Arabidopsis thaliana: one gene and its partner. The protein of the gene in region 1 interacts with the protein of each later gene in a pairwise test. Each region holds a gene or a part of one and is shown on either strand. Other genes may lie near its edges. The genes, in order: UBC28 and MUB5.

Region 1 (16,750 bases):
GAAAATCCCCGCATGTGCAGCTGCAGTCGCTCAGCTGAACAATACATTCACCCTTATCTAACGCTGTTGCAACCTGAAAGGCGTTATTGTCTAAGGGCGTTACAATGTAACTGTAAGTAACGAAAGTTGTCCTGAATTCTTCAAGCTTGTCCATGACAGGCTCGGTGTACACATCGCCGCAGTTAAGAGAACTTCGGCTACAACTAAAAGACTTGTCAAACTTGGATCTCAGTTCATCAAATAGAAGAAGCACGGAACCTGTCACTACATGACCAGCCTGCTCAAATGCGTTACAAACTGCAAACAAAGCTTTTGTATTTATCTCCATGATTCCATATCTCCGACCATTGTCATGAGCCAGAGCCCACCGATTTTGAGGGAATTGGTCTAACCATTTCCGAGCTTCTGGGTTCTTCTCTTTGATGTCATTCATGTAGGAAACAAACTCATCCTTCTGACTCGTGGACCCAGCCCGCCTAATGCGAGCCCCCAGGCAGAAGCTTGGAAAAACACGAGAGAATTGGGAGTAAAAATGATTCAGACTGAACCTGTGATAAGCCCAAGGTTCTTGCCACTGAGACCCAGATTCGTTGACAACAGCAATTATGTCGGGGTGGGGACTGGAAATGAGGCAAAGGCCTTTCCTTTGTGTAACCTTCTCTCTGATTCCAGTGAGAAACCAACGCCAAATATCAGTAGAAACTTCTTTAGTAACCGCAAAGGCAAGTGGAAAATATTTGTTGGCTGCATCAACTCCTGAGGCAATCATCAATTTCAATTGGTACTCACAGTTCAAGTTTTTGGTATCCACTACGATCAGAGGTCTACAGTGTTGAAACCCTTCTATAGACTGTGGGAACGCCCAAAACACACCACAGAAGGATGCAAAATTAGGATTAGGAAAAAGATCATACTTCCAGTCCACAAGGAGTCCATTAGATGAACAAAGGGCAGACATTAACTTGGGAAAATCTTCAAAACTTTGATCCCAATCTCCAAAAACTCTTTTGATAGCTTTCTCTTTCGCTAACCGCACATCAGAAGTTTCAAGCTCATAGCCAATTTTTTTTTTCCACCACTTCTTCAACTCTGAAATTGTTTGTGTGGGCATATACCTGACCGCACGTTCAATCTCATCTGTTTCAAACTCTGATTTGAAATCTTCTGGAACAATGGGATGACAAGTATGTGGACCAGTATACTTGATTATCTCGACAAGTCCGTGCTTTTTCATTCTAGCGGCTCCAAGTGACCACTTGCATTTCCATCTGATGCACTCAAAGATATACTCGTCCTTTGCAGTCTCTCGTACTACACACTTTTGCTGAGCTTTAAGGGAACACCAGTCCACTGCCTTCTTCAGCTCATCGCCATCTTTAAAGCACAATCCTACTCGCAAGTCATGATCGTCAAGCCACAAACTAGACATACACGGTTTTGAAACATGACCAGAAATGGAATCTTTATTCAAAGTGCTGCTATCAACCAAGTGTACCACGCCATCTGATTCTGAGTTTCTATCCGTCTCCCTCTCTAACTTAACATGTATATCGGTCTTCTGTCTTTTCGAAGAACCACCAAGAATGTCTGAAGGCGATGAACAAGTAGCAGGATCAATAACTCCAACGGATGTCGATTCCACTTCCAAATACAGGTCAATGTCTTTAATATAAGGATGTTTGGTTGTAATCTCAAGCATAGTCTCCAAACTAGTGTCGTCCACCACGGGAAGAGGTTTATACTTAACCCTAAACGCTTGAATATCTGTAGGATATCTACCGATTATACCAAACTTTGATCTCTTCCTATCTAACCCAGTAACTTGATACAGATGATCCAGCAATTCGTTAAACTTAGTCTTTCCCTTCACAGTGGTCATTCTATAATTGGACCCTTCATAGTATATGCCATTAGTGCCATCCTTGATGCAACCGTTCCAGCAACAGAACACCGGAACATTTACTTCAGACATGAGCACAACAAACCTGCACGGAGTTCAAAAGTAAAAATGTAAACTTTGGGGATGCAAACCCTTTTCTCTGACGTTAGGGTTTCTCCGGCGGTATGAGGAAGACAAAACGACAAAAAAATAAAAAACAGTTGGGCCAAAATAACAAGGCCCAACTATATGTTCATCAATAATAAACCCGTTCATCAGTAATGGGTAACCCGTTTAGCTTGGTTTTAACCAGACTGAATTTTCACATACAAATAAACCTGAACCTGTTTGTTTCCTAAGTCTAGTTCTCTAACTTTCAGGTCTTCTTAAAGTGGGCATGAATAAATCCTAAGGAGATGCTTCATGTTAAATCCTAAGTTTCTTCTTACTTACTGATACAGAAAAACTAGGATCTGTTTCTTCAATCACAAACAATCGATCAATCAACCAAAATAACACTTCCGATTAATATTCAAGGATAACAATGAGCTCCAATGTTCATAAAACAGGGGAGACTCTAGATTCACCTTGCAAGAACATTGTTCTTCACAGAGGATGAATCATAATATTCGAAACCCAGAAACCTCAAAGAGAAGAACAACAAACTTCAACAACTTTCACGATTATGATAAAATGTTCCTGATCCAGCTTCTTTTAAACGCAGGCAATCCACTCGTTTCCATCTTGGCCGTTACTTCATCTTTTAATCACAGCCCTCCACGTGTCTCTGCTCCCTTATTATTTCCCATATCACTTACTAACTTACTCCACTCCTCATCCTCGGTCTTGTCTTCTTATGAACTGAGCTCATTTTGGATCATCGTCTTTATAGATGACTTTCTTGGGGTGAGGTCGATTTCGAACTTCTCAGCTGTAAAACCAGTTTAAAACAAAGCAAGTTACAAAGACGACATCGTCGGTGAAGAAATAAAACGATCTGATCTTAACTCATACCAAGTCGCTTGAGGACGTCAGCAATCGCGGTCTGTCAGGAAATAACAAAGCTATTATTAGAGACTTATAGATCAATTTATCTTCTAAACGCACATAAATTTTTTGAGGTTTGAATCCTAACCGTTTTCAAGTCCACAACTTTCAAGATATCAACAATTGCATTTCTCAACTCTTCATCACTAGGAGGCACCTTGGCTTTGTCATTTACTAGATCAAACAAAGACAGATAAACACATGGCGTCAGAAACATAAAAAGATAAAGAAAGATATATCAAAATTGATGATGACACTATACTGTAATTCTTCATGTTTATGAATCTAAGGAACCATCGTTTAATAAGTACTCAGATTGTTCTGAATCCTAGTCTTGACTAAAGCTATCTTTCGTATTGAATTGTATCCATGCCATAGTAAATACTTAAGTTAATATTGAAAGTAGAAACATAATGTAATGCAACTAGTAATGTGTATACCGATATTAGTTCAGTTTTCAGTCATGATTCTTGGTTTATTAAGACTATTAACCAAGTCAAAGCAAATTCAGGATTAATCGACTGTTAGTTCAGGGCAAAACAAAATGCAAATTCACGTTGATTTTCACAAACAAAAGCAGCAACACATGTTTTTGTCACGACACTACGATATATAACCCGAACCGGTTTAATCATACTTGCCGAAAGTCAAAAGATACTACATAATCACCAATCAGTTAGCACAATCCATACAAAAACCTCTTAAGAATTGACTCAGTTTCGTACCAAATCCATCTAACAGGTTCAGATTTTCGTCTTACTAGTGCGAGGAGTAGTTTTCCATTGGGACTTACCTGATACGTTAGGTGGCGGCAGAATGACCGGTGGAAACAGTGTCGGAACTCCAGAAGCTTCTGGCCAAGCTGCTACTTCCGGGACAGGAGAAAAAGTGGCAGCATAAGTTTTGTATAATCGGTCAAGAGAGTAACAGTCGTCTACATACTGCAAAGGGTTGATTTTCAGCTTCTCGCAGACTGCTAGAACGTGCAGACATGGAAACTTCTTCAACTGAAACTCCCCACACGTACAGGACCATTCACTCAGCTGAACGATCCATTCATCCTCCTGTAATGGTTCTGTGACTTGAAACAGACCTTTCTCTAATGGCATTACAACGTGAGGGATGGAATCTGTCATTAACTTTTCGAGCTGGTCCATGACGGGTTTGGTGTACATATCTCCGCGGTTGACCCTACCACTGCTATCACAAAGACCCGAGTAAAAAAAAAATCTCATCTCATCAAACAGAAGCAGTGCTGTAGCTGTCACTGGCAAACCAAGAGACTGAAAGCTTTCACAAAATGCAAACAAATTTTCTGCATCGATCGTCATAACTCTGTATCTCCGACCACTGTCATGAGCTTGAGCCCACTGATATTGAGGAAATTGGTCTAACCATTTCCGCGCTTCTGAGTTCTTCTTTTCGATCTCATTCATATAGGAATCAAATTCTTCCTTCTCACTTGTGGATCCAGCCTCATACACAAGGTTCTTCAGGTAGTCGTCTTGAAAAACATAGTGAAATTGGGTGCATATATCATCCAGACAGAACATGTGATAAGCCCAGGGTTCTTGCCACTGAGATCCTGGTTCGTTAATAACATCAAGTATATCAGGGTGGGGTCTGGAGATGAGGCAAATGTCTTTCCTTTGTGTTACCTTCTCCCTGATTCCACTGAGAAACCAACGCCAGGTATCTGAGGATACTTCTGTGGTAAACGCAAATGCAAGTGGGAAATAGCAATCGTCAGCTTCGACTCCTGAGGCAATCATCAATTTCATAGGGTACTTACCCTTCAAGTCTTTGGTGTCCACTACGATCAGAGGTCTACAGTGTTGAAACCCTTCAATGGACTGTGGAAACGCCCAAAACACACTACGAAAGGAAGCAAATTCAGGATTTGGAAAAAGCTTGTATTGCCAGTCCACAACTAGCCCATTAGATGAGTGAAACGCAGCCATTAGATTGGGTAATACTCTAAAACTCTGATCCCAATCTCCAAAGACTTTTTTGATCACTTCTTGTTTTGCTGCTTGCATCTCTGAAGTTGCAAGCATGTCGCCAAAATTTTCAAACCACCAATTTCTCAACTCTTCAATTGTTAGTGTGGGCTGTACCCTGATCAGACATTCAATCTCATCTGCTGCGAATTCCACGTCATAATTATCTGGCCCTATAGGACAACAAGTATGTGGAGTATTACACTTGGTTATCTCAACAAGTCCGTGCTCTTCAATTCTAGCTGCCTGAAGCGACCACTTGCATTTCCATCTGATGCATTCAAACGTATACTTGTCCTTCTCGGTCTCTCTTACTACACACTTTTGCCGCCCTCTAATAGAGCACCAGTCCACCGTCTTCTTCAGCTCATCCCTGTCTTTAAAACACAACCCTACACGCAATTCATGATCATCAACCCACAAACTGGACAGAGGCCATGATTTGAAGTACTTGACTCGGCGTTATTCGCTGTCAAAGTAACAACCTGTTCCACCCCATCCGAACCCGAGTTTTTATTTGTCATTTCTCTATCTACATATCCATGAGTGCTACCATTTCCCAATGCAGCATCTGCCTCGTCTTCAATCCACCCGTTACTGTTATCCACTCCCTGAACCTTTAAACCATTAACCCTCTCTAATTTAACAGATGAATGTGTCACATAACCAGTTGCTTCTTGGGTCCTCTGTCTTTTCAAGGAACTACCAAGATTTTCTAATGGCGATGAACAAGCAGCAGGATCAATAACTCCTTCAGATGTCGATTTCACTTCCAAATACAACTCCACAAGTTTAATAGAAGGATAATTGCTTGGAACCTCAAGCATAGTCTCCAAACTAGAGTCGTTTACCACCGGAAAATGTAAATACGTAAACAGATCCGGTGAAAGAACTGCAGGGTACCTACCAAAGATTGAAATCTTTGATCTTTGCTTAGCTAATCCAAAAATTGGATAAAGCCCATTCAACAGTGTGTTAAACTCAGTATTGCGCTTAACTCTGATCTTTTTAGGACTAGATCCTTCATAGTATACGCCATCAGAACCATACTTAATACAAGCATTCGTATAACACAGCAACATAACATGTTCTCTCAAGGTTTCCATCGCCATGAGCACAACAGTCCTGAAGTAAAATCAAAGAAAAATGTAAACTTTTTGGGCCTGAACTCATAACATACAAAACACTAGAAAACTCCATATCTAAAAACAAAGGCTAAAGATTTTTAGGGACAGAAGCAGATAAACCCATTTAGGAAACATAAACCCTGAACAGTGATACTCAAACTAAGACTAGTAAAGTTCCAAGTACCTGAAAAAGAAGGGAGATTTACCAGCTGGGTGTCGATATCAAGCTCGGATTTTTCAGAAATGGAAGTAATTTCACTGTCCTCTCAAGAATTTCTCCGGTGATGTGAAGACAGCTGCAAGAACATCATATGACAAGGGAAACTCACAAATATTGCATTTCGAAATTTACTACAGTTCTAAAAATGAAAAGAAGAAAAAGTACAGAAATAATGTACAATTGGGCCGAAATAAAAAAGCCCATTAATGTTTGGGCAAAATAACAAGCAAATATTTAAATCCTATTCCCGCCTAAATTTTCATGTCCCAATGATTTGATACTTCTTCTTTTCTTAAAAATGAAATAAAAATCAATAGAGATACATGAAAATTAGAAAACTGGTAAGTACGATTTATTATACGTTTTTAGAGGTTGATTTTATCCACATTAAGCCTCCTCGCAGATACAAACTTTGTTGAATATTAGCTGACAAGATATGAGGATTAGACGGAAAGAGATCGTAAAGAAGAAGAAGAAGAAGACAGTGGGTTTAAGTTTCCGATCCCGTTTAGCTTGGTTTTCATATCGCTTCAGGGGATCACTCAAAGTTGCAGCACTACAATATATAATCAGGACTAGTACATAATACATAATCACTAATTAGTTGACATAACCCACCAAATTGCCCGATTAATTTTCACATACAAAAGCAGTAACATATCATGTCTCCGTTCTTCCTAAATGTCAAAAGATACTACATAACTAACATAACCACTAATCAGTTAACATAATCCACCAAAATGCCGGCCTTGCTTTCAGGTCTTCTTCTTATTACTGCGAGGAGTTGTTTTGGCTTTGGACTTACCTGCTACATTGGTTGGGGGCGGTGGCGGTGGCAGAGGAATGACCGGGGGAAACAATCTCGGAACTCCAGAAGCTTCCGGCCAAGCTGATAACTCCGGAACAGGAGAAAATGTGGCAGTGTAAGTTTTGTATAACCGTTCAAGAGTGTAACAGTCGTCTACATACTCCAAAGGATTGATTTTCAGCAACTTGCAGACAGCTAGAGCGTGTAGACATGGGAACTTGCAACTTTGAAACTCCCCACACGTGCAGCTGCAGTCGCTCAGCTGAACAGTCCATTCATCATTTTCTTGAGGCGCGGTGACCTGAAACGCATTATTGTCTAACGGCATTACATCATAAGTAACTGAATCTTTCCTTGACTCTGCAAGCTTTTCCGTGACTGGTTCAGTGTACACATTGCCGCATTTACGAGAACCACGGCTAAAACAAAAAAACTCATCAAACGAGTGTCTCAGCTCATCAAACAGACGCAGCACATAACCTGTCAATACATGATTATCCAAATGAGAGACATTAAAATCTTCAAACAGAGTTGTTGTCTCTATCTCCATGATTCCATATCTCCGCCCATTGTCATGAGCCAGAGCCCACTGATTTTGAGGGAATTGGTCTAACCATTTCCGAGCTTCTGAGTTCTTCTTTTCAATGTCCTTCATGTAGGAATCAAATTCTTCCTTCTGACTCGTGGATCCAGCCCGCTTCACAAGATCCTCCAGATAGTAGTCTCGAAAAATGCCACTGAATTGAGAGAGCAGATGACGCAGACAGAATCTGTTATAAGCCCAGGGTTCTTGCCACTGAGATCCGGATTCGTTAATAACAGCAAGTAAGTCGGGGTCGGGACTGGAAATGAGGCAAAGGCCCTTCCTTTGTGTTACCCTCTCTCTGATTCCAGAGAGAAACCAACGCCAACTATCAGTAGAAAGTTCTGTAGTAAACGCAAAGGCAAGCAGAAAAAAATTGTCTGCTGCATCAACCGCAGAGGCGATCATCAACTTCCATTGGTACTTACAGTTCAAATTTTTGGTGTCCACTATGATTAGAGGTCTACAGTGATGGAACCCTTCGATAGACTGTGAAAATGCCCAAAACACACCACGGAAGGATGCAAATTTAGGATTAGGAAAAAGATCATACTTCCAGTCCACGAGGAGTCCATTAGATGAATGAATGGCAGCCATTAACTTGGGCAAATCTTCAAAACTCTGATCGCAATCTCCAAAGACTCTTTTGATAGCTTCATTCTTCGCGATACGCACGTCCGAAGTTTGAAGCTCATAGCCAATTTTTTCTATATACCACTTCTTCAGCTCTGTAAATGATTGTGTGGGATGTATTCTGATCACACGTTCAAACTCATCTGCTTCAAACTCCATATAGGAATCTTGTGGCTCAATGGCACAACTACAAGTATGTGGACAAGTATACTTAATTATCTCGATAAGTCCGTGCTTTTCCATTCTAGCGGCCTCAAGCGTCCACTTGCATTTCCATCTGGCGCACTCAAACATATACTCATCCTTCTCAGCCTCTCGCATTACGCAACTTCGCTGCCCTCTAAAGGAACACCAGTCCACTGCCTTCTTCAGCCCATCAATATCTTTGAAGCACAATCCTACCCGCAAGTCATGATCATCAAGCCACAAACTAGAAAGACACGGTTTGGAAACACCAGAACTGGAATCTTGATTCAAATCCTTGAGGGAGATATTGTTATCCTGTGTCAAATTAACCACTTGCGCCACTGCATCTGAACTTGGATTTTTATCTGTCATGTCACCATCTCTACCGTTTCCAATGTCGACATCTTCTTCATCTTCAATCCACCCGTTACTGTTGCCCTTCTCTAACTTAACAGGTATATCCATCCTCTGTCTTTTCAAGGAACTACCGGGATTTGCCAACAACGGCGAACGAGCAGCAGACACAACAACCCCATCAGATTTCACTTCCAAATACAGTTCTACATTTTTAATAGAAGGATGTTTGCTTGGGACTTCAAGCATTGTCTCCAAACTAGAGTCGTTCACCACAGGCAAAAGTAGAAAATGAAGCATTGATTGCGGTTGAACAGCTGAAGGAAACCTACCGAAAATTCTAACCTTTGATCTCCGATCATTTACATCTAATCCAGTAAGAAGATACAGCTGATCCAACAATATGCTTAACTCAGTCTTTCTCTTAACTTTGATCATTCTAGGAGTTGATCTGTCATATACCCCATTGCTACCATACTCAATGCGACCGTTCCAGTAACACAACACCGGAACCTCCATTTCAGCCATGAGCACACCAAACCTGCAAGGAATCCAAAGTAAAAATGTAAACTTTATTGCTAAATCCTTGTTATGCACAACCCAAGAAGAAACAGCAGCCACCTCCTATCACTAAAACAACAACATGAAAGGCCTAAGTCCCTAAAATGTATGGAATGGTACATCAAATTCTACAAACAAACAAAAAACTAAATACAAAGCAAAATAAAAAATTCAGGGGATAAAACCCTAACATGCAAACCCTAAAAATTATAAAGAACCCCGAAAGATGAAAAATCAATTTTGATCTCTAAAACAACAACAACAAGGCACCGGAGCTGATAAATCCAGCAAAAAATTGTTTTAAAAAACCCTAGAAAACAAAACACAACAGTATAGTCGTCTAAGTTATAGATGTTTACATACCTGAGAAGGTAAAGGAGTATTAGGAAGTTTGGATTTTCAGAAATGGAAGTAATTTGAGTTGCATTAAGGAATTTCCCGGCGATGTCGTCACGACTGAGGAAGACAACTACACTCTCACTCTCGCACAGCTTTGCAGAATAAGAAATAAAGAGTTCGGAAACATCAAAGTGTTGGGTCGAAAATAGAAAGCCCACTAATAAAATTGCCTGACTTTTGACTACGAGAGAGATGATCTAACGGGAGATCCAACGGTTATCAACGAGACAAGTCACTCTGGGGATGAAAATTAAGAGAGTCAACATTGTTCTTTTTTTTTTTTTTTGGTAAAAAGTAAAAACATTGTTCTTTTTATCCCACATTTTTATCATATTATTACGTTTATGAATGTTAGCATGGACAATCCAAACTTTTGTATCTATAAGAGTTCATGATTTAATATGAAATCATTGATTCTTACAAGCAAGGAATATGGGAAAGGTGGAGAAAATTTCCCTAAATTGTAAACTATCTATAATAGGGTTAATATAAAAAAAGAGTCAAAGACTCAACGTATCTTTGGTGTGGTGTCTCGAAGTACTGGGGGGTTGCTTGTTCGCATCGCATTGTTGTTATTTCCACATTTTAGGTTATGAATACCACAAGACTTGAGACGAGAGCTGAGGACATTGGTCTTGATCTTACTGGTTTTAGTTACATCACAAAGACATGGTTGTTGCTCTTTCAAAAATTTACAACATTCGGTCGATATCTTTAATCCACTATTAACAACGTCCAAGCAAGTCTGAATCCTACTTTCTTCACATGATTCTCTGTCCCTCTTGGATCTACTTCCGCCTGCACCGATAGCTTTTGTTGGAAGCGGTAATGATGCCAAGAGAATGACGAATGTAATAAGCAACAATCCGACGGTCTTCATGCATGTATATATAGTTGTTTCTTTTAGATATACCTATAGCAAATATTTTGGATTCCTTTTGTTTTCTGTGCAAAACATGAGAATTTGTTTAGGTATTTCTTGGATAATGAAGGATTCCAATTGCATGGTATTGCGTAATGAACGCGTTTTTCCTTGTTAATCAACATGAACGTAATTAGTTGCTATGTAAATAACTAAATATAGCCTAAATGATTGGCTAAATCACTACATGAATTATTTTCAGTATTTAGAATATTTCATTGGTTAATAATAATACACCATGATTTACAGATTTTACATTCAAATCATCATAAATTAAATGAAAATTCAGATTGAATGAAAAGTTGGATGATCTAGCTAACCAATAAATCTACAGTTTATTGTTTCGTAATAATATGCCTTTTGATTTCGCTTTCCATTTCATAATGAGGTAACTTAATTCAATGGTAGATAAAGTGTACCTTTATTCTTTGATTTGAGGTATTTTTAAATTAATGCACATATGGAATCATTGATCCCTTACAAGCAAGGGAAATGATAAAGGTGGAGAAAATTTTCTGTAGGGTAAATTTATCACTTTGCATTTCATACAAGGGTAAATTTCGAATTAATATGTTAATCAACATCTTCAAAATCATGCAATTTTTATTTTATTTTTCTGCAAAAATGGTTTTATTTCAATATTTTCTCAAACACGGAATTTTGAAAATTTGGTAGCAAATGTCAAATGTTCCCATTTAATCATCGTCATACTTTGTTAGGTAAAAGCTCAAAGTTTCCAGCTTTACATAAATAATTTTTCTTATAATTTTTTGGAAAAAGCATAGAAACAAAGATAGGGAACATATGGATAATAAAGAGGTGAAGTAATGTTTTTGTTTGAGATTAAAGAGGTTTCAAACAAAGAGATGATAAAACATAGGAATCTAACTTATTTCATGGAAGATCCCTATGTGAAGAAGTCCTCTCTCTTTCTCTCTCTCTCTCTATTAAAACCGAGTCTGTGAGGGATCAAAGGACACAAACTTTCATCCCATTGCATATTTCTGAGTCCAGCTTCTCGCAGTAGACTCATACTTTGCTCTATCGGTTTTGTACATGTGAGCAATCTCTGGAACCAATGGATCATCTGGGTTTGGGTCCGTTAACAATGAACATATCGAAAGCAAAACCTATAAATTCACAAGAGATTTGATTAAAATAAGAGGAGATTCATTATATATCATCCACTGCTATTGGTTAAAGAGTGCTTTTTCACCTTCGATATGGTGAGTGCAGGACTCCATTGTTCTTTCAAAATGTCAAGGCAAATGCTTCCATTGCTGTTGACATTAGGGTGGAACACTTTTGTCCTGAATGCAACCTGCAAGAAAAAGAGCATTTTGAATTCCAGTTCATGATTTCAGTTTGGTAACAATGAATAATTTACCTTTGGTGGTTTGAAAGGATAATCCGGAGGGAAGTGAATGGTTACGAGAAAGACACCGCCTGAATAAGGACTATCAGATGGACCCATTATTGTAGCTTGCCAATGAAACATGTCTTCAGCAACTGGGCCTTGAAGATTTCACAATTGTTCATAGAAGGAAAAAATAGAAAGATTAGTCTTTTAAACATGATGATCTATGGCATTTACTGAAATACACACAACAAAACATGTGCCATAGCAATGTCCTGAGACTTCTCTAGCAGAAGAATGCATGAACAGTTTGAGAATCTCCGACAACAATCCTCTAACTCTATTAAGACCAACAATTTCGACGCATTATCCACTTATCATATATTTTAATAAACAAAACAAACATGTATAAACCTGAATGCAATAGATAACTAAGAAAGACTATCAGTGCGAGGTATCAAGTCTGTAAGATCCGTTATGGATACTTGGATAAACAAGGCAGCATACAACACCAAAAGCTTAATTCTAAGAAAATTCACAACTTTCAATAGCTATTTCCTAGACTATGATCATAAGATAACTGCAACGACCAATCTCAACTTTGTTCTAAGAAAAATCTCAACTTCCAACTGTTATCTTATTAATTATGATCAATAGTATCCAGGATGGGTAAATGGATCCCAATTTTTAACAGCTATCTTCTAGACTATGATTATTAGAAAGCTGTAATTTTCAATCAAGGATCAGTACAGCCATAAATTTGTTCTGTTCTAAGAAAAATCTCAACTTTCAATTGGTATCTTCTAAACTAAGATCATAACTTAGCGGCAATTACCACCTCAAGATCTCTAGATAACTTCGTTATAAAATTACGAAGACTAAAAAAGATTTCATTTTTTTGTTTGCTTAAAGATAAGATTATAAGATCTAACAACAAAGCTCAAAAATAGATCAGACACGATTTACGAGAGGAGAGGTAAAGACTAACCAGCACTGCAGGAAGTTGGAGGATCCTTCTGGAGATCCTTGAGCTCTTTCAAGATCCTTTTCGAAGCCATTTCTCAACCAAAAAAAAACTCCTAGATCCAAAAAACCAAACCCTAGATAGATTCAGCAACGCAACAAACAAAGGAAAAGCAAAGGTTGAAAATTTCCGATAAAGGATTGAGCTTTTTTACCTCAAGACAGATCCTCCAAACTCGGTTTTGACGATTCACTTCCTGCAGATGATTTTTGAGAAAGAGACAGAGAGAGCCTTTGAGACCTAACGAATAAACAAAGAGAGAGAAATTTTATTTATGTATGCTTCAAATATAAATAATGACAGCTATTTTCCAGCGAGCCAGAGAATCATTATTGGATAAACATACTTTTAATAAAAAATAAAGGACCCTCTGAGTTAGACAGAGTGTTTCATAGAGGCTTTAAAAAGGTGCTTAAACCCTTTAGGGTTTTTGTCTTCCAGCTAAATCGACTCTGACACAGAGATAAGCAGAGAGAGAGAGAGAGAGTTCTGAGATCAGAATCAATGGCGGCTAAAAGTACGTTGAAGATCAAAGGCAAAGCAAAACCATCAAAGGGATCATCATCATCTTCGTCCTCCTCTGCATCATCAAAGTACAAGGTCTTCAAGGATTGGACCAACTGGTCATTACAGAAAGCCAAAGTCGCGACTCACTATGGTTTCATCCCTCTGATCATCATCATCGGCATGAACTCAGATCCTAAACCTCATCTTTTTCACCTCCTCTCTCCCGTTTAATCCACAAATTGGATCTTCTTCGTAATGTTCTTCTTAGATGCTTTTACTTTTTTTCCCAAATTTGTTCTGTTTTCTTCGTTTTATGAAATGGATTTATATTTGTTTCTGATTCTATAATTCAAAGTCTCATTCTTTTTTGCATGATTCAAATTCAATAAAATCAAATGATCTATGAAGAAACAAAGAATTTGCTTTAATGGTTACTACTACTAGTTTGTGTTGTCTCACTCTGCATCAACTGATCGAATATCTTCAATCAATTTCAAAACTTGAGCTATATGAGGTCTTTCTTGTTGCTTCAGAGCAACACAAGCCAATCCTATTTGCAACATCTCAACCATCTCCTCCTCGAAACCACCTGATTGACTCAATATCTCCATATCAAACACTTCTCCAGTCCACTCTTTAGCCACCACAGATCTTATCCAGCTAGCTAAGTCCATGTTCTCACCTCCTGTTGGTACTAATTCTGCTTGACTCACTGGTGATTTCCCTGTCAAGAGCTCCAGTAATACCACACCGAAGCTGTATACATCCGAAAACTGTGTGCTTCTTCTTGTGTCTGTTATTTCAGGTGCATGGTAGCCAGAAGTAAGGCAAGTGGTTTGAGGAAGTGATCTCATGATTGTCGTCAAGCCAACATCGCCTATGCAGCCATAGCATTGTGAGTCTAAGAAGATGTTTGAGGATTTGATGTTTCCATGTATGAACTTCCCTTCGTGGATTTTAGCTAGCCCTCTCGCTGCACCGGTTGCTATTCGCAGTCTAGCATCCCAATCTAACGGTACTCGATGATACCTTCCTCTGTTTCCTGCAAAGAAAATGGAACCTTGTAGTTTCGATTTATCATCAGAATGAGAGCAATGAAAATAACTAACCGTGCAGTATTTCGAAGAGGCTTCCATGATTGTAATAGCTATAAACCGCGAGCTTATCGTCTTTGGAGTAGTAGTAAGCCTTTAGCTCAGCTACATTTTCATGTCTGATCATACCAATGATCTCCATTTGTTGCTCAAACTCTCGTCTTCCAACGACAACTTCCTTCAATCGTTTTACAACGACCGTGCTCATGTCCTCCATTGTTACCTTATAGGTTGTACCAAAAGCACCCTTCCCCAAAACTTCTGCAGATGAGCTTAGCAAATCATCTAAATCAAATAAGTGGTTTCTTCCACCAAAGAAGATGATCTTCCCGCCTTCTTCAGTGTTATCATCTCTAGATGTCCAGTTTCCTGGAGGAGAAGACGAGTCTCTCTTTCGCAACTTCCCGGAGATTCTAGTCTTCCCGAAACAAGTGATCATTATGAATGATAATCCGGAAACACACAAAACGCAAGCTGCAGACAGAATCAGCAAGAAAGCAAGTTGGCTTAACCCGAAAGGAGTCTTGCGTTGTTTCTTCCTCTCGGTAAGGTTGTTGCCAGAAAAAGCTGAACTTTGGAATCTTTGAAGAGACTTTGGTATTGTACCGATGAGCTTGTTGTTGGACAAGTTGATCTGACTCAGTTTTGGAAGATGAAGATTTGGAATTTCCCCTGAGAATGAATTGTTTGCAAGATTCAAGACTTGAAGGCTAGTCAATCCTGAAAGAGAGGTTGGGATGCTTCCGTTGAATCCATTGTTAGACAGATCAAGAACCTTAAGATTCTTCAACTCCGAGAAGATAGCTAGTAGTGGACCTGAGAGGTGGTTATGTTGTAGGTAGAGATGAGTCAAGCTCTTGAGATTTGTGAAATCAGAAGGGAAGTCTCCGGTGAAATGGTTCTTTCTAAGGCTTAGAAACTTGAGAGAAGAGAGACGACTGATGGTGAAAGGAGGAATCAAACCGTTGAATCCAACCGCAGGCAATCTAACGGATACAATTCGATCTCCGTTTTCGTTGCAGGTAACACCGGTCCAGCTATGACAAACGTCTGAGCTCTGGTTCCAATGGAGACGAGAAGAATTGAAACTAGACAAGAAATGAAGCAAAGCTTTCTTGTCGTCTTCAAGAGTCTGAGAGGAAATCAGAACAAAACAGAGAATCAAAGAGAAGAAGAACAAGAAGATTTGCATTGTGAAGAAACTAGTTTTTGTCTCTAACTGTAAAACAGAGAAATTTTCTTTAGCAGAAGAATTTGTTTCTGATTAAAAAAATAGATAAAAGAGTGATTAGAAAGATACGCCGGCAGGTTTTAGCCGGCAAAAAAGTCTTCTCTTATATAAGCTGAGAAAACTAAAAAAACCTTGGAGCCATTAAAACCATTGAGACCGTTTCTCTGAGTTTTGATCGTTGGGTGTATTTAATTCTTGCTTCAAGAAAATTCATACCAAACGGCTAATTTCTCTTAACTCTATTCCTAAAGCCTGTAACGTAAGCGCGGTAAAATTCAGAGGCTTGGCATACAATTATCAACAAACAAAAAGAGCTGAAATGTTCTCTTTTTTTTTTTTTTTTTTTTTTTTTTTTGATCACCAAGAGCTGAAATGTTCTGTTTTGTGGTATTTTAAGATAATGTCTTCTTCATTTGTGCCTACCAAAAAACAAAAAGTCTTCTTCATTTGTATCATATATGCGTACGTTTGTTAATCAATGTATTATTTAATAGAAACATGATTGTCTTAAGTAATTTTAGAAATTCATTTTATTTTGTATCATTGTTTGTCTCTCAGATTCATGTAATTGGTTAGGACTTTTTTTTTCTTTGATTGTTGGCTAACAAATGGATAGAGCTTTAGAGTTCTCCAAAGTCTAAAATTGATTCAAAAAAAAAGCTCAGAAAGAAGATACTATATGAATAACAGAATTACATGCCCTAAATGATTTAATGTAACATAAAACATTATACATTATTCAAAAAATGTATGATAAATATAAACTCTTTTTTGGGTATAAAATCAATAAATAATATTTATATTGGCATAAAACGAGA
Region 2 (16,222 bases), 5.5 Mb from region 1:
GAGGAAAATGATCATTGGTATATGCTAATACCAATATCTCAATTTTTCATATCTTTTTAACTTAATTTTATTATGGAAAGAAATTGTTATTCAGAAAAAAAGAGTTGAGAATTGGAAAAGTACTGGTTTTTCATGGAATCCATATAAATTTGTCATCTATTTTCTGGTACATCGGAGACATAAATGAAATTAGAATATTAACTCTTTTTTTGTCTAGAAGTTACTCATATCATATCTTTCTTTTTTTCTGCTTGGGATTTATTAGATAGATTCTTTGTCCGAATAAAATCTCTAGTAGTTGATGATTAGTAGAGCGAATAATGATCATGCTTTCAATACATAAATAATCGAATATTACTAGTAATTTAGTATACGACTTTAGCATTTTTAGATTTTGTACAAAGGCATCTAATACCATTTCATGATTTAGGAGTTATAACTCGCTGCAGAAAACAAAGAAATTGAATAACAATTATCATTTAGTTCAGAACTTCTGAACCTTGTGTGTGTGTGTTTTAGTATAGCTTTGTGTAAAAATAGTTTGAAGCACAAACAAAAGTTGAATGTATAAATTTGTACATAGGTATAAGTTACAAATATTCTGTAACCATAATTACCTAATTTAGTCTAACAAATGAAACCATCAAGCAAACTTGATTGTGTGATGATTTGTATTAATAGTTCATATACTAATGGCTCAATGAATCGAGATAGATAAGATAATGTTGTATAAACATTTAGATTCGTTCATATTATAATACTGTAACTAAAGTATACAAGGAATGAAAAATCAATCAAGTTCATACCTCCAAAGTGGTATTTCGGACCCATTCGACGGCGGATACCAAGAAAAGAAGTAGTACTATTTTAAAAAAACTTTTTTTTTTTGGTCAAAGACATTATATATATAACATATAAATGACGCAGTGGAATATTTAACAAAACTAAAATTAGTTAATGCAAAAGGAAAATAAGTTGCTTTATTCCCGTTATCAAGCCGGCGCGTATTCTATACTCAACTCATTTATAAATTTTTTAAATTTCGAAACCTTTTTTTTTTTCCATTAACCACCAATAATTATCACTAATATACAAATTTGGTTCTTCGGTTAGGATGATCAAGAATAAATACGTCATATCGGGAAAAACAACCACGGGGCCAAATCCTTAAATAGTTTTGGACAAAATCAAAAACAATTTTAAATATATAATATATATATATATATATATATATAATGTTCCCTTAGTAGACAAGGAAAAAACTGTTTCTATTCGAATCAATAAAACAAGAATCCAAAATTATTTGGTCAACAATTAGTGACTCCATATTAATTACGCATGTGTTTCTTTGTGGATGTGTGTGTATATTTAGTGTGTGAAAAATTGAGTGGTGAAGTGTGTGGGAGAGAGGGGGCCATCAAATCTAATGGAAGCGTCGGGCGACTCAATAATTTTTGTTTCGCCATTAATTACCTTTGTTTATTTTGTTCTTAGACATCTTTTTGGGTCACAATTTTATTAGTATTATTTCTTTGTCAACAAATCAAACAGACAAAAGTATTATGAATTGATAGCAGAGAACTAAAAACCCAATAAATCAGAATAATATTCTTAAAAAACTCGGCAAGTCTAGAATATTGTATTATTGGTAGGAATATTTATATTAAAAATGTAAATCACAAAAAATCTACATGTTTTGGTCAAATGTAAAGTAATAATATGTATATTAATTACAATGTACGTATAAAATAGCTATCAATCCAGCAAAAGAGAAGAGTGCTAGTAGATTTGTGAGAATGTTTCGTTTTCTCAGTAATGGCTTGAGATAAGGAAACAACTGTTTTTGGTCCATACCCTCTCTTCTCTTTCCGTCTGCCGTTTTGAAATTGATCTTCCTATTTTCATATTACATTATTAGTCTCTTCACTTCATTTTCCCATTGAATTCCAGTTGAAATTTGAGAATGTTTATATATATATATATATATATATATATCTTTTAGTCTTTCATATATATATATTTATAGTAGTAAGTGTTCAAGACTTTGAACTCTAAGATAAGTCATTTTGAAAAGAGAATAATATGTACGACTGTAGTTTTCTTTATAGAGTCGTCTACGACTTTGTTAAAACTCGATTGGGAAAACAAGATTATAACAGCGGTTAAAAGTTTTGTAACTTTTATTGTAGTATACCCGATTTACCTAAACCAAAAGCTATGTGATCAACACTAGTAATCAAGTTTATAAGGTCAAAAGAACCTTTAAAGGGTGAAAAGAAAAGTTGATAAGTTAATAACTGATAAGCACTCCACTAATCATCTAATCGGACGGTGGAGATACATGGAAGAGTTGATTATTTAGAGGGTCAAGAACCGCTACTTAAGATACGTTTGATTGATTTCAATATTTTTTTAAAATAGAAAAGTAAAAGTGTTGAGCCGAAATTAGGATGCAAAGGTATATGCCATATCAACGTTAAATGGTAGAGATTTGTGGTTGTAATATTCCACTTATCATTGATGCACATGAAAATTGTAATTTGTTTTTTAATTACTTGTTGATGTGGTCCAAATTCTCGATCTTAATCATATAGTATGAACTAAAAGAAAGAACGATTGGAGAAAGTTGTACTGTTTATACATTGAACACAACAAGTGTTTTTATATACATATTGGACATACATAACTTAAAATTTTTTGTTTCAACAATGCAAGAATTTTGATCAACTGACTTTGTATGTAAATGCTAAAAAAATCTGAAGAAGATGGAGTTCCAAACTTGTGTTGGTTTGTGGGTAATTTCCAAAATACTACAACACTTTATATAAAGCTGCCAAACCAAATTTTCCCCAACCACCATCCGCTCTAATTCTGGCTTCACATCCCTATTAACCGGATAAAGTTATAAAGTCAACTGATTACAAAACAGAGTAGGTCTTCGCTTTTATACACCAGAGAGAGACCACTTAACTGAATTTAAAACGAGTTCTGGAAAAAATCTAGACTAATTCTTAGTAATTGTAATTGTTATGCGAAATTACATATTAAAGATGGCTAACTGAAGAAAAAACTGACATAAATTGAGTGACTTAAATATGTTGTAGCAACATAAAAGGAATATTAGTATAGAACAAACAACAAAAACATTTGAGTAAAATGCATATTTAGTGACATTAAGAGTAATGAAACCAGTAGAGATGTCGTAGGCAGTTGAGTAGCTTAATGAGGTTTAGGTCCACAGTATGGGCTTCTTCTGATATATTTTAATATAGTTTATGAGCACATTTCTCAATTCTATTTATTCAAAATTCCCTTAGAAAATAGTAGTAATTAATTTTAGTGACCCTATCTATATATATCTCTGTGTCAAGGCCGGCCCTTTTCTTCTCATTCTACTACACCCACAAGCCACACCTATTTATCATCATCACTCCTCCTAAAGCAAATAAATGAAAGAACAAAAAATGAAGAAGCTCAATATTATACTTACTTGTTGGTGTGTCATGTGTGCGTAGATATGATGTGGATTGTGTAAGAAACTAATGTGGCTACTGGGTCCTCTCATATGGGACCAAACTTCGTAGACTTTAGTATTTACATTCATAGAACCAAAACATTAGTCTCATTACAAAACATTTACCACTTATCCGTTAAGGCTATAGGCTACAAACAAAAGTTACCAGAATTGACCAAAGAATCTTACGAGATTTGTGATTTTGGTATATGCAATTATTCAAGTGTGGGAGTGAGTATATTAGATCTATGAAGGAGTTGAAGCCTTGGTCATCTTTAAGAGCATACGAGTGTGCAGAGGTCTTCTGTCCTGGCTTGTGAGATATTGGTGAAAGGAAATATCCTGAACTTTCCATTTGCCATGCACGTTAGTGTTAGCTGAGCATCACTCACCATTGCCTGTCGTATTCACATATAGTTTTTTACAATGTTGTAATCACTAATCAGACTCAGAATTTGCATATATATAGACTCAGATTCTAGTTTCAGGGTCACAACAAAGGTTATGGTTTAGATGAATATACCTCGCAGGAAGTAGTCATGTCGCTGCAGCTCCATTTTTTGGTTGGAACACAGTCAACATAGCGACACCAATGGCAATGACGGTTGAGATTGACTCCCCAGCATGCTGCTAATAGAACCCCGGCAAGTCTAAACAGAGATGGAAAGCTTTTTCATGTCACAAGAGCGTAGATAAAACAAAAAAAACTAGACCAAAAAGAGATTTGAGGTAAATTCTCACATTCCACAAAACACGAGCAGGCATATAATCCTTAATACCGGTCTGTCAAACTGTTCTTTAAGCCTTGTGGATCTGTTCATATCATCTTCAAACAATTTCCCCTTATGAGATGGAGGCATCTGTCTCAGTTGTGGTTTGAACAATAGCACAAATCCAAGGAGGAATCCTGATATGAAACCACCAATATTTGCAAAGTTGTCTATGAAAGGGAGAAAGCCTATCAGGAAATTCACAGTGAAGATAGTGAATATTATCGCCAAGGCTGAAATCTGTACCAAGCAAAAGAAAATACAATCAGAAAAGCTATGAGAAGAAGATAACAAGAGACAAAACAGAACCACAAGAAATCCTTGACCTTGCTGTTATATAGATTCCAGTTCTTTGCAAGTGCAGAAAGCATGGCTCCAATCAACCCAAAGAAAGCAGCACCAGAAGAGATTGATGGGATGTTCCGAACAAACAACACAGCAAACAGACTACCCATAATGCCAGAGAGGAAGTATATGACTGCAATCCTCACTACAAAACCAAAGCAAAAGCAGAAGAAAGGTGGATTAGAAAGGTGATAGATTCCATCCAAAACAGACTAATCAAAAGTCAAGTAGTCTAAATTACATGGTCCAAACTGTTGCTCCATGTATATCCCTACGAAAATCAAACTCCCAAGATTTATGAATAGATGAAATAATCCACTGTGCAGCCATGGAGATGTCAAAATACGCCAAATCTCATGATTCTCCGTCAGAGCTTTCCAAGAAAGACCTCCCATATGCTCTAACCTGCAAACTCACAAGAAAATAAGTAGTCCATAGCTTATAATCAGTCATTTGATAGCTCAAGTTACCCCTATTTCCCTTAATTTTCTGAAACATAGAGCTCTCACAAGAACCACCACTTGAATTAGATTGCTTCATCAACAGAATGTAGCACCAAGAGCCACACAAATAAACACACACACACACTAGAACAACACAGAATTGTAAACAAGAACTTGTCGGTTGTCACTGTAATCAGAGATTGAGACACTATGAATCAGCTGAAACTCATCAATCTTGGAAACTAGTATCATCCAAATCCAACAAACTTCAGCAACCTATCGTTACCGATCCAAAAGATGAGCAGAATGAAACATCCAAAATTACAGGTCTAAGCAACGAAGCATCCAAAATCCATCTCTAAAGGATCTAACAATTCAATTAGAGATCGATTCCAAAATCAGTTACAAGCAGAGACCAAAAGCGAAATCCGCCGGAGAGAGCTACTTACGTTGAGGCGGAGGGACCAAGCATAGGATTCTCGGAGAGAGACTGGAAAGAGAATCGGCCAAGGAGTTTAGCGGAGCAGTGACCGTGAGAGTTCCCGGAGCAATCGTTGACGCCCATAGTTACAGCGAAGAGGACGATCTGAAGAAGAACGAAGACGGAGACAAGCCAAGTGTCTCGTTTGATTTGCCGTGAACGGTGACGGAAGAATGAGATCTTGTCCCAGCTAGAATCGCCGGCGTTAGAAGTGGTAAACGAGAGATTGTGAGAGATTTCATCGATCTGCGTCGTCTTTGACTCTGTAGGAACCTCCATTGTTGAAGGTGAGCGAGAAATTAGGGGATGATGACGAATGGGTTGTTTTATACTTTGTAGAAATTGGCGGGAAAATGTTATTGGAGAGCAAACCGAACGCTAACCGTTTCACGATCCGGTTCGGAATTGATTTAGAGCGCGTGTACCGCTTACTATACACGTCATTATCATTTGTATTAAACTCAAATCAAAATTTTAAAAGATATAGCTGGATTAATTTTTTCAACGCATTTGATTCTGTATTTTATTTTTATTAAAAAAAGATTCAGTGAACATATAAAAAGATTAGTATCATTAAGCCATTATTAATTACTATTTTCAAGCAAAGAATGTATCGTGTTTGTGGAATGTACGCAAGGAATGATTCATGTATTCGTGACGGTTGGTTTTGGTTGGCGTCTAATATGACAAGTGATCATAAAAGCTTATGTTAATATATCATCATATAATCCAAATCATTTATAGTTAGTACTTAGTATGCTAAATATACGTTGCAAATTTATCGTATATAGTCAACCAAAAAGGTAAATTCAGATTTGTATAAATGTAAATGGAGAGATGACTGTATCTTGAGATTTCTGGTAGTTATTATATAAGTTGAGAAAGAGAGTAAGAGACCCAATTATTGTTATTTTCTAAATTTGGCTCTGCTCAAAGACAACGGAACTCTCTGCTTTTCTTCTTTCTAGAGATCTTTTCTTGAGGTAATAATTTAAAGATGGGAGATGAAGATTTAATAGAATTGAAGTTCAGACTCGCAGATGGTACCGACATTGGTCCAAGCAAATATAGTCAATTCATGACTGTTGCATCTCTCAAGGAGAAAATCATTGCTCAATGGCCTAAAGGTAAATCATTTTCTATGTTTCTTCTCAAAAGTTTTGCTATTTGTTTAAAGGTGAAGTTGAAAATCTTGTTGTGGACAGACAAAGAAAACGCACCAAAGATGATAAATGAGGTTAAGCTCATCAATGGTGGGAAGATACTTGAGAACAACAAAACACTTTCTGAAGCAAGGTCCTTAATAACTATTGGTGAACTTCCTGGAATTGTAACTACAATGCATGTTGTTCTTCGTCCTCCTCTCTTTGAGAAGAAAAAAGGTAATTTCTATACATTTTCTCTTCAATTCTTGAGTGTTTTTGTGTGTATTTTGTATATCTCAAAGCTTTGTTTTTATGTTTTCTTTTGTTTCTTCAGAGAAACTGCAGAATGATCCTCCAAGGAAGAGTCACTGTGTATGCTGCATTTTGTAGCTCCACTTAGAGATTTTTGATCCTTTATACAATTTATTCCATTGGAAAAAACTTTCCATATCTTAAAGTCTTCAACATGGATCTTCATTACCAGAATGATTTTGGTTTTTCTTCCTTCCTTTTCTTCTTCATTGTTTATCAAAAATGGCTTAAGAAAAATTACTGTGTTGTTGAAGATTGAGGTATTATGTAAAAATTTGTTCATATGAGTGAAAAGCAAATATGAGTTGCTTGAAAGGACCTGTTATAACACAAGAAGATAACTAGTTATATATAACTTTAGAGCACTACAATATTTACTTAGAGATGTATATCCATCCACATAGTAACAAATGCTCCAACTTTTATCTGTTGTGATCACTACATCTTCACACAAGCTTGAGCATTTCCTCAATTAGATTGTTTATGGCTCTATACTTCATCATCACAATGTTTGCTTCAAGAAAGAGCTGCAAGAGTTTCAGAAACTGAGTGATGATAAAATAATTACTGTGTTTTTCTTTAAGCATATTTATCTGGAAGCTTGGTCTGACTATACAGATCTACTAAATCAGCACATGCATTGTGGAAGGTTGTAGGGTAAGTTTTGATTAGAAAGGGACACCATTTTATGGCCTTAAGATGGAGAGTAGGTCCACTATCAGTTAATGGGTGAGGAAAATGATGGTATGACATGACAATATGATATAACATGAGTTGCTTTCAATCAACCTATATAGTACACTAAGATTATTATGGATGACTATATAGTACACTAAGTTTATTATGGATGACTAGTTCTGAAAATGACCCCTTTTTTGCTTTTGTCCTTCAAGTGCCTAATTCTCTGTTTTTTCCAGCCTAGTTAAACTAGTAACCACAAGTCAGTAAATCAACATGATGTAATCAAGAATTGGCTATGGCAAGTTCTCGAAACGATTGTATGCATTATGCAATCATATTCAAACCATAAATCCTACATCATATAGAAAACAAAATGATATATATGATCATGAGGAAGCAATGACTCAAACAGTGGTAACAAGATAGTGCTCGAGACAAATTGAATAGGGGCAACGTATGCACAACATGACACCACTCAACTTTCCCATAAACCTCATGGTCGTTGCGCCTCTCAGTCATAAAGAAATAGAGACAACTCTCGGAGGTACCTAAAAGCCGTCGGGTCTCGTAGAGCTCTGTGGAAGCGAGAAGAGAGCGGAATCTCTTGGAGACTAACGAGAGAGTTGGGTAGTACAATCTAGAGATGCGTGCTAAGCAATTCAAGAGTAGATCGTCTGGGAGATATGGTATACTAACCTTTTCAGCTTCAGATGTGCTACTCAACACAATCTTCTTCTTCTTCTTCCTCATCTTCACCGACGACTTGATCCTCTGGCAGTCACCGACCAACACAGTTCTTCTTCTCCGACAAATGCTTTTTTCTATTTCGCTAATCTCAACAATTTGGGTCAGTAAAATGCTATTGGGCTGGGCCTGTATTCTTTTCTTTTATTTAATTTAAATCGTAAGCCTTTTTACGAAAAAAAAAACAATTGGAGAAGAACGAGATTTCGGGGATTCTGATGGTTCTCAATGGGCCTTTTAACTGATTCAAGCCCACTCTCTTTTTTTTTTTTGGTGATTTCAAGCCCACTCTCTTAATTCACTTCCAAAGAGTTTTATTAAATTTAATATGTTACTAAAATTTTTTATATCATTTAAAAATTAATAGTTAATTCATTTGTAAAGGTAAAATTGAAATTTGTTTTTTGTTATGAAATTATGAGTACAAAAATAACTGTATTTTATTTCTTAGCTATTAAATCGCACACTTTAATTACTATATATATTTTTCTTTCAACCAAAAAGTAATTGGATATTAAACATCATAAAAAATAAACTATTTTTTTCCGGATTTTTTAGTTTTTTTTTTCTCTTTTTAAATATATAGAGAATATTAAATAGATTGTGAAATATGTTATATGGTACGAACGATGGGATAAGGATTCTCTTCTTTTGATCCTAAAGTTTGGTTTTCTTTTCTTTTTTCTCGTAGTTGCCTCTGCATCACGACGCCTTACGTGTTTAAACACCCACATTATATAACTTTAAAGAAATGGTCTACAATTATATAATCACTCTCTTTGTATACTAATCTAGTATAGTTAACGAATACTTGCATTAAAACTGGCTGTAGCTCATTCGAAAGTGGATTTTGGAACCTAATAAATGATGACATAACTAAAACGAATTAGATGACTATATATATTAACTCTATAAACACTGAGGATTAGTACTATTCAACTCAAGATCTTATATAAATAAAGTAGATTAGCACTATGATTAGAAGTGACCCCATGTTAGATATTTTTGTACTTTTAATTCAATCATAAACATGTACTATGCTTGTTAGAATTTAAATGTTGATGCAATAACGACAATAATACAAAGTAGTATTAAACTACCTTTTTGTCTATCAATGTTATGATTTGCGAAAATATTATAAATGCAAGTTGTTTAGTGTGTTGTTGCCTGATTCACTTGGACGATTATTTTTGACTTAAAAATGATTCTCTACTAATAGAATAAAACGTTGTAATTGTTATATATAGATCTTGGCGCAGCCAGGCAGCCTCCTCGAGTCCTCGTGTTATTCTACACTTAACTTTTATAGGCCAATATTATTCCCTCACCCTTTAATTTTATGTTTATATATACATTGAAGGAAGCTGGAGAGTACCTTCTATACTAATATAAACTAAGTTGTAATTTGCATAGTTTAAAGCGTTAATAACATACATTTTTCAACCGTCCATTGATCTTCAATCGATTTTCAAAGATGCCAAATTAATTCAAAAGCGTTAATAATATTTGTGTTACAAATTAAAAATGTTGTTTCTTATATTGATGTTTCCTTTTACTGTACTACGTTTTTTCCTACATCTACAGAAATATTTGCTTTATGTTGTTCTTATCGATAACAACTTACTTCGTTCCACATGATTTTTCACAAAAATCTCATCGTATTTTCGATGTGGAATTTGTAACACCAACAAAAGTATGTGGAAGTGTTTTGTGTTTTATTTTCAGCGTCAAAATGATTATGAATTGTCATTGACACACGTGGTGAATACAAACCGAAATGTCGAATACTGTTGTATGTTGCTCTTTTGCCGAAAGACAAAAATGGAGTTAGTATCGGATCTTTGACATTTTCAAAAAAAAAATGAATAACGAATATATCGAACAATATCTAATATAACCGCTCAAATAATTAGATTATGCAAGAACAAAATTGTCTGCATTATCCAGAAATGGAACCACATAATAAGAAACGTGACTAAAAACACAAACAAATCTCAGACAAAAAAAAAAAAAAAGAGAGTGAGAAATGCTATTTATATTAGATGAGTGTGAAGTCCACTACCAGCAATCGGAAATATGATAGATATAAAATAGAATAAAGATTTGGCATATATTTTAGGTATACACTTAAATTAAAACTATATGTTCTTGGCTTCTTAATTTGGACACGTTTATGGATATTGTGGTCGATTCGATTATCATTTGGAAGCTAAATTGGCGGCCGAGTCAGATTCCTCTCAGGCCTTCTCCAATACATTCTTGGATTATCACTCGAATCTTGATCACTTTTTGTTTATTAATTGTTTTGAAACTTTCTAATAGCCATCATACTTTACTACGATCAAATAATTTTTAGTTAATTACCGTTATGAATCCATATCGTTTGTTAAATTATAAAAATTATTTTGTACTTTATTTTATATTACTGAACCAAAATCTAAAATCAAGTGTGTATGCGCTTTCAAAATCTCTAAGACAAAGTGTAGTTGTTTTTAAAGAAACTATTTTTACGTCGATTGCTGATTGTTGTGCCCCTTTTCACAATTTTGATTATCCCTTCGAGATTAGTTTGCATCTTTTTAGTAGATAATTTTGGATTGATCTGTAGACAAAAGGAAATATTGATCGGTCATCGGTCCATTAAGAAAATAAAAGTTTTTAGAGAAGTCATAACAGCTACAGCATGCGAGCATAAGATACAGTAAAAAAAGACTAAAGTATAATCAAAATTTCATCATTAACTTTTCTGTCGTTTAGTATGTGAATATTTTGTTTTCACTTTTTAATAATTTGATGGATACTGAGAATTTCAGTTTCAAATTAGTAAACGATAAAGTAGATGATAATTAAATTCATGTCATAGCCATGAACGAATGTTATGTTAAAAAAATTTCATGTAAGTAAATTCTTTGGAGTTCGATTCTTCTTTTGTCCTTACACAATCAAAGATTTTTCTTTCAACTTTTTTTACTTAACAGCATTAACTCTTTCTCAGATCTTCAATTGTTTTCCTAAACGAAATTATCATTAAATTGTTTAAAAAATACACATTTAATATAACATATATCATAACAAGATATATTATATTTATGAAAAAGAGATGTAGTACTACAGCATATGGTGGCAAACAAACCCACTAAATTCAGTAAAATGGAACCCACCAAATTTATCTATAAATAAGTCCCCAAACCTCTCCCCCAAAAATGCAACAACACTCATCTTTCCCAATATAAGTTTTTACCAAACAACAACTTTTGTTTTGCCTTTCCTCAAAACATAATTTTGTCTTATTTTCTAAACCGGTAAAAGATGTCGCTAGCTATCGCAGAAGTTTACACGGTGAGGAAGTTTCACAGAGAGAGTATGAAGAAACCGGCCAAACAGACGGTTACCGGCGAGGGAGATGAAAAGATTGGCGGAGGAAGTTTCAAGGAGGCGCCGGTGAAGTCAGGTGGGTGTAGAAGATTCGGACGGTGGTTTTTTGGGAAGCCGGGAATGAAGAAAAGCTCTGCTAAAGTTTCGGATCCCATGGCGATTGAGTGATGAAGAAGAAATTAAAACTTTTCTCTTCTTTGCCTTTTTTTTTTTTCTTTCTTTATTTTGTTTTATTTTCATTGGTCTTTTTTTAATGGCTTTTTCTAGTGTCTTCTCTTTTTCTTTATTGGGTGATTTTATAAATAGTCGGTAAACATTGTACAATATGAACTACAAAAATATGAGAAAATCTATATATGTATGTAGAATGGATGTATTCCCTAAATACCACAGCTAGTTTGATAAGTTTTATGCCAAACCAACTAAACTTGTATGCCACGATATTTCGTATTTCAGAAAATCGAAAATTGTTATTTTTTAGTGTTTTTTAAACCATATATATATATATATATATATATACAAAAATACAAACATATGAAAATAAACATATCTAGATTTAGTTTTTAGTTGGTTAACCATTTGGCACTTTTGACATAGTTTTAGTTTAATAATCTATCACTAACTGTACTAATCTTCTTCTTCTTTTTTTAACTGCAACTCACATAAAAGAATATCTAGATTTAAACCATGATATTGCATAAACCATTAAATTCGGTTGTAGCAATATTTATCCAAATATGAATTCGGCGCTATACAAATATAAAAACAAACTATTTTGGCGCTCTTATTATATGTCACGACAAATCACACACATTAAATATATACAAAGACACAAAAACAAGATAAAATATATAGGAAAATACTTTTAAAAGAAAAAGTAGTGGGGTTTTAAGAATATAAAGAAAATTAGTGGATGTTCAAAATATTGAGTAGTGAAAAATAAACCAAAACAAAAATAATCTATGAGGGTGATTAGGAGAAGGTTCTGCTCGTGACGGTTTGTTTTTTCAGCCAATCAAAAAGCTTTTAAGTGGATCTCACTAGATTTCATAGCATACGCTAACGACCTAACGTTAAAGTCAGGCAAAATCTATGTTTAAAATTTGCGTCGTTCAAAAACCATTCCACAAAAAATACAAGCTAAACTGGCGGCAGAGTCTCAGTTCAATGAATCCATTACGAGCTTTGTTTGAAGAAATATTTAACCCACTGACTCATTAATAAAGCAACCAAAACAAAATCCTTTAACTATAAAATAATTAAACGAAAGTAAAGAACACACGAAAACAACAATAAAAGAAGAAAAAGCAAAAGTAAACGACAACAAAATTACCTTAAATATATATTCTCTCGTAACAAGTTGGCATATCTAATCTAGTTATATTGAGATAGTGTCATGCATCATGATATTAGATGTTTTATCTTATAACATTGCTTTTATTTTTACCGATTTAACAAAATCGTATATTGTATGCAGGTAGTCAAAATTGATACAGACTTGTTTTATATCAGCCAAACATATCAATTCAGTCAAGTGAGTTAACAATGTATGTCAACAAGGGGGAATTGAGCAATTTAAAGAGTTAAAAGACCATTAACTAAACAGACAAAGAGTTTAGGAGCAAAAAGTAATAAAGTAATAATAAAAGGTCAAAAAGTGTAAGAAAAAAAGAAAAGAAGAGGAAGGTTCTGTGCACGTAACTTGAATTCGTAAAAGTCCATTGCTCCTTCTTCCTTAAGCTCTTTGCTAAATCTTCACGCAATGACTCTCTCCTTCAAATTCAATCCTCCTTCTTCTCTTCTATTCTCTTCCCGCTTCATCCTCCTCCTACGTCATCCGGACGCTACGTTTCCCCGGCGCCGGCGGATTCTACCGGTCAGTTCTCTCCGATCAAACTCTTATGCTCATTGTCTCCTGGAATTTCAACAATCTTTTGATTAGAACTTTTAGATTGGTGTTCTGATGGGAGAATATTGTTGAATTGACAGATTCATTGCGTTAGATTTGTCACTGAGCCCTAAGAATTTGGGGAATTTTGGTCTGCTTCGGCGAAGGATCGATGGAGAAATCTACCAAATGTGCTGTTTGCTACAAGTCGTTTCGTCCCTCAATCTGTGTAGATTGTGTTAATCGCGGGTATAATCAGGTTCTCATACAATCTGATATGATCTTGGAATCTTTCAAATTCTTACGAGTTCGGATTTGATGGCACTTTGTGTGCAGGTTAAACGAATACAAGGTCAAGTTGGACTCGTTGAAGAGTCTTCGGGAGGTTTCGTATTTCAGATTAAGTGGCTTACTTGTCACAAAGGTTCATTGTTGAGTTTTAAGTCTGATCTGAGATTCATTTGCTTTTCTTGTGTTAAATGATGTCTTATTCTTGCTTGTGATCTTCACTATTGACCAGGAGAAAGCAATTAGTCAACGTTGTTGGAAGGAGCTTCAGAATGAGAAGCTTGCTAAGTTGCGGGAGAAGCTTCAGCTACAAGTGGAGAAATTGCAGCAAAGTCTGAACATACGCCCTTAAGTAATTCGTCTTTCGCCTTCGTAACAATAAGTCTAAATAGACCTACTTCATGATGATGCAGGCAAAAACACATTTCGGAGTCTATCTCGCAATCTGAAAGAGAGATATGGCATTATTGAATCAACTAACGTTGCTGTAATGTGATACTTTCTTTTTTCATTTGCTGCTTTTTCTCTCTTAAAAAGGGATTTGTATGATATTAATTTTGCTATGGTTAATGTAAATAGTCTCATTTTTTGCAGTTAGAGGAGAGCCGTGTTCACCAACTAGAGAACCACTATTCAGATACTATTGGCAATCACTACTTGGTATATGTAAGATCTATATCTCATTATACTTTAACTCTATGACTATGCTTGAACTAGATCTTTTACTAGGACTCATATACTCATTTCTGTGTCTCACTTTTTTAAAAAATCCAATCTCATATGTACAGATCGATCTAACTTCGGAACGCCTTTATAAACAGGCTTTGGTTATGAAACAGATATGCAAATTATTCCCTTTATCCCGGGTAAGGACATCCAACTTTAGGTTCTTATCTCTTCAATTATTAAAATACAGGTTTCATAGTTAATGTATAGAGTCTATGCCAAAAAGAAGTTGGTAAACACATCTTCTTTCTTCCAGAGGCCATCTTGGAATTTCTCTTCAGACTGCTGTGTTATTGTACACATCTTCTAGGATGGTTTTACTGAATCTAACTATGTTCAGGTGACAGTAGAGGGGCAGAACAAAGATGGGTCTAGTGTACAATATGATCAAATCTGCAATGCTCTCTTACCACAAGGTCTCAACCCACTCTCTGTTCCGCCAAAAGAGCTCGCAGCCTCATTAGGGTAACATGTCCCCGTCTTTTTACAGTAATTTTGCTGTACAGAAATAATTTAAGATATATGTAGACTGTAGATCAATCTCCTAAGTGCATCTTCTACTCCTGCAGATCATTTTACTCATAATCATCTATTATATTTGATGAATTAACATTCCCATGGTTGGTGGTTGGATCAGGTACATGGTGCAGCTTCTGAATCTTGTTGTCCATAAGCTCTCAGTGCCTGCACTTCATAACTTGGGTTTCGCGGTAGATGCCAACTCATTTTCACTCAATTTTATGCTGAAAACAGTTGCCTCAGTAACTAAGTCTGAGAAAATCGCACATACATACACAAACTCCCTGCATGCAATCTTTGCATAGGAAATAAAATTGAGAGATAATTTGTTAATATTGACAACATATTACTTTTCATCTGGAAATTGATTGATTGACTACAAAAAAAAATCTGTATTGTTTTGTCTCAGGGTTCTTGTTCAAGAATATGGGAACGAGATTCTTATTGGAACTCTTATCCATCTTCTCCAAGGTAAACCATATTTGACTGATAAGCACTTATAATAGTATAAAAAAATACACAGGAAGGATAAGATATTAGAGATCTTTGGCCATTTTTTAGTGGATATTTGGGAGCTTTTTGTCTTAGGTAGGGACTCGACTTTGTTCATTGAGTAATAAAGATACATAGGATCACTGATCTTAACATTGACATGACAGGAACTGTTTGTGTCTCCATTAGAGTTAGAGATTTAAACGATCTTTTTGTTTTGTTTTTCTGCCAGCAATGGGTATCCCCTTTTTGTACCAATCCATGATCACTACTCATTTGAAGAGAAAAGTTCATGGACGGGTAGAGATACAACCAATTTTGGTGTCACTTCGTTGAAATCAGATGGAAGTATAGAAGAAGATTATCATGACCTTGACCTTGACGTTGTTAGCCTTTCTTCTGCCTCTCCTCATTCCGTTGAAACATTCAGAAATCTGCAGCAAGGAATTGCACATCTCAAGCAAAGCGTGGCTCACTTGACTGTGTACGGATACAGGTC

Evidence for each region.
Region 2: the proteins of UBC28 (region 1) and MUB5 interact in a two-hybrid assay, tested with the Arabidopsis thaliana proteins (one study listed by BioGRID).

The regions. Positions count from the first base shown.
Region 1 is NC_003070.9:23,830,176-23,846,925, reverse strand, and holds UBC28 (ubiquitin-conjugating enzyme 28), read right to left. Parts: upstream 13,376-16,750; 5' UTR 13,255-13,375; intron 13,177-13,254; 5' UTR 13,135-13,176; coding exon 13,065-13,134; intron 12,450-13,064; coding exon 12,324-12,449; intron 12,235-12,323; coding exon 12,107-12,234; intron 12,041-12,106; coding exon 11,936-12,040; intron 11,850-11,935; coding exon 11,706-11,849; 3' UTR 11,390-11,705; downstream 1-11,389. Other genes in the region: AT1G64255 (MuDR family transposase), read right to left, coding at 1-1,972; AT1G64253 (DEK carboxy-terminal domain protein), read right to left, coding at 2,734-2,810, 2,894-2,924, 3,015-3,100, 3,720-4,707; AT1G64235 (Bifunctional inhibitor/lipid-transfer protein/seed storage 2S albumin superfamily protein), read right to left, coding at 10,306-10,677; TOM7-2 (translocase of outer membrane 7 kDa subunit 2), read left to right, coding at 13,605-13,838; AT1G64210 (Leucine-rich repeat protein kinase family protein), read right to left, coding at 14,063-14,649, 14,717-15,893. UniProt on the Arabidopsis thaliana protein: Accepts the ubiquitin from the E1 complex and catalyzes its covalent attachment to other proteins.
Region 2 is NC_003070.9:29,278,627-29,294,848, forward strand, and holds MUB5 (membrane-anchored ubiquitin-fold protein 5 precursor), read left to right. Parts: upstream 1-6,336; 5' UTR 6,337-6,550; coding exon 6,551-6,680; intron 6,681-6,758; coding exon 6,759-6,935; intron 6,936-7,032; coding exon 7,033-7,088; 3' UTR 7,089-7,456; coding exon of another isoform or gene 7,457-7,537; 3' UTR 7,538-7,714; downstream 7,715-16,222. Other genes in the region: KOM (Rhomboid-related intramembrane serine protease family protein), read right to left, coding at 3,790-3,912, 4,038-4,164, 4,256-4,524, 4,611-4,774, 4,871-5,034, 5,522-5,832; AT1G77880 (Galactose oxidase/kelch repeat superfamily protein), read right to left, coding at 8,049-8,441; AT1G77885 (uncharacterized protein), read left to right, coding at 11,745-11,978; AT1G77890 (DNA-directed RNA polymerase II protein), read left to right, coding at 13,871-13,947, 14,035-14,122, 14,219-14,318, 14,400-14,473, 14,581-14,652, 14,775-14,852, 15,053-15,177, 15,350-15,422 and 2 more. UniProt on the Arabidopsis thaliana protein: May serve as docking site to facilitate the association of other proteins to the plasma membrane.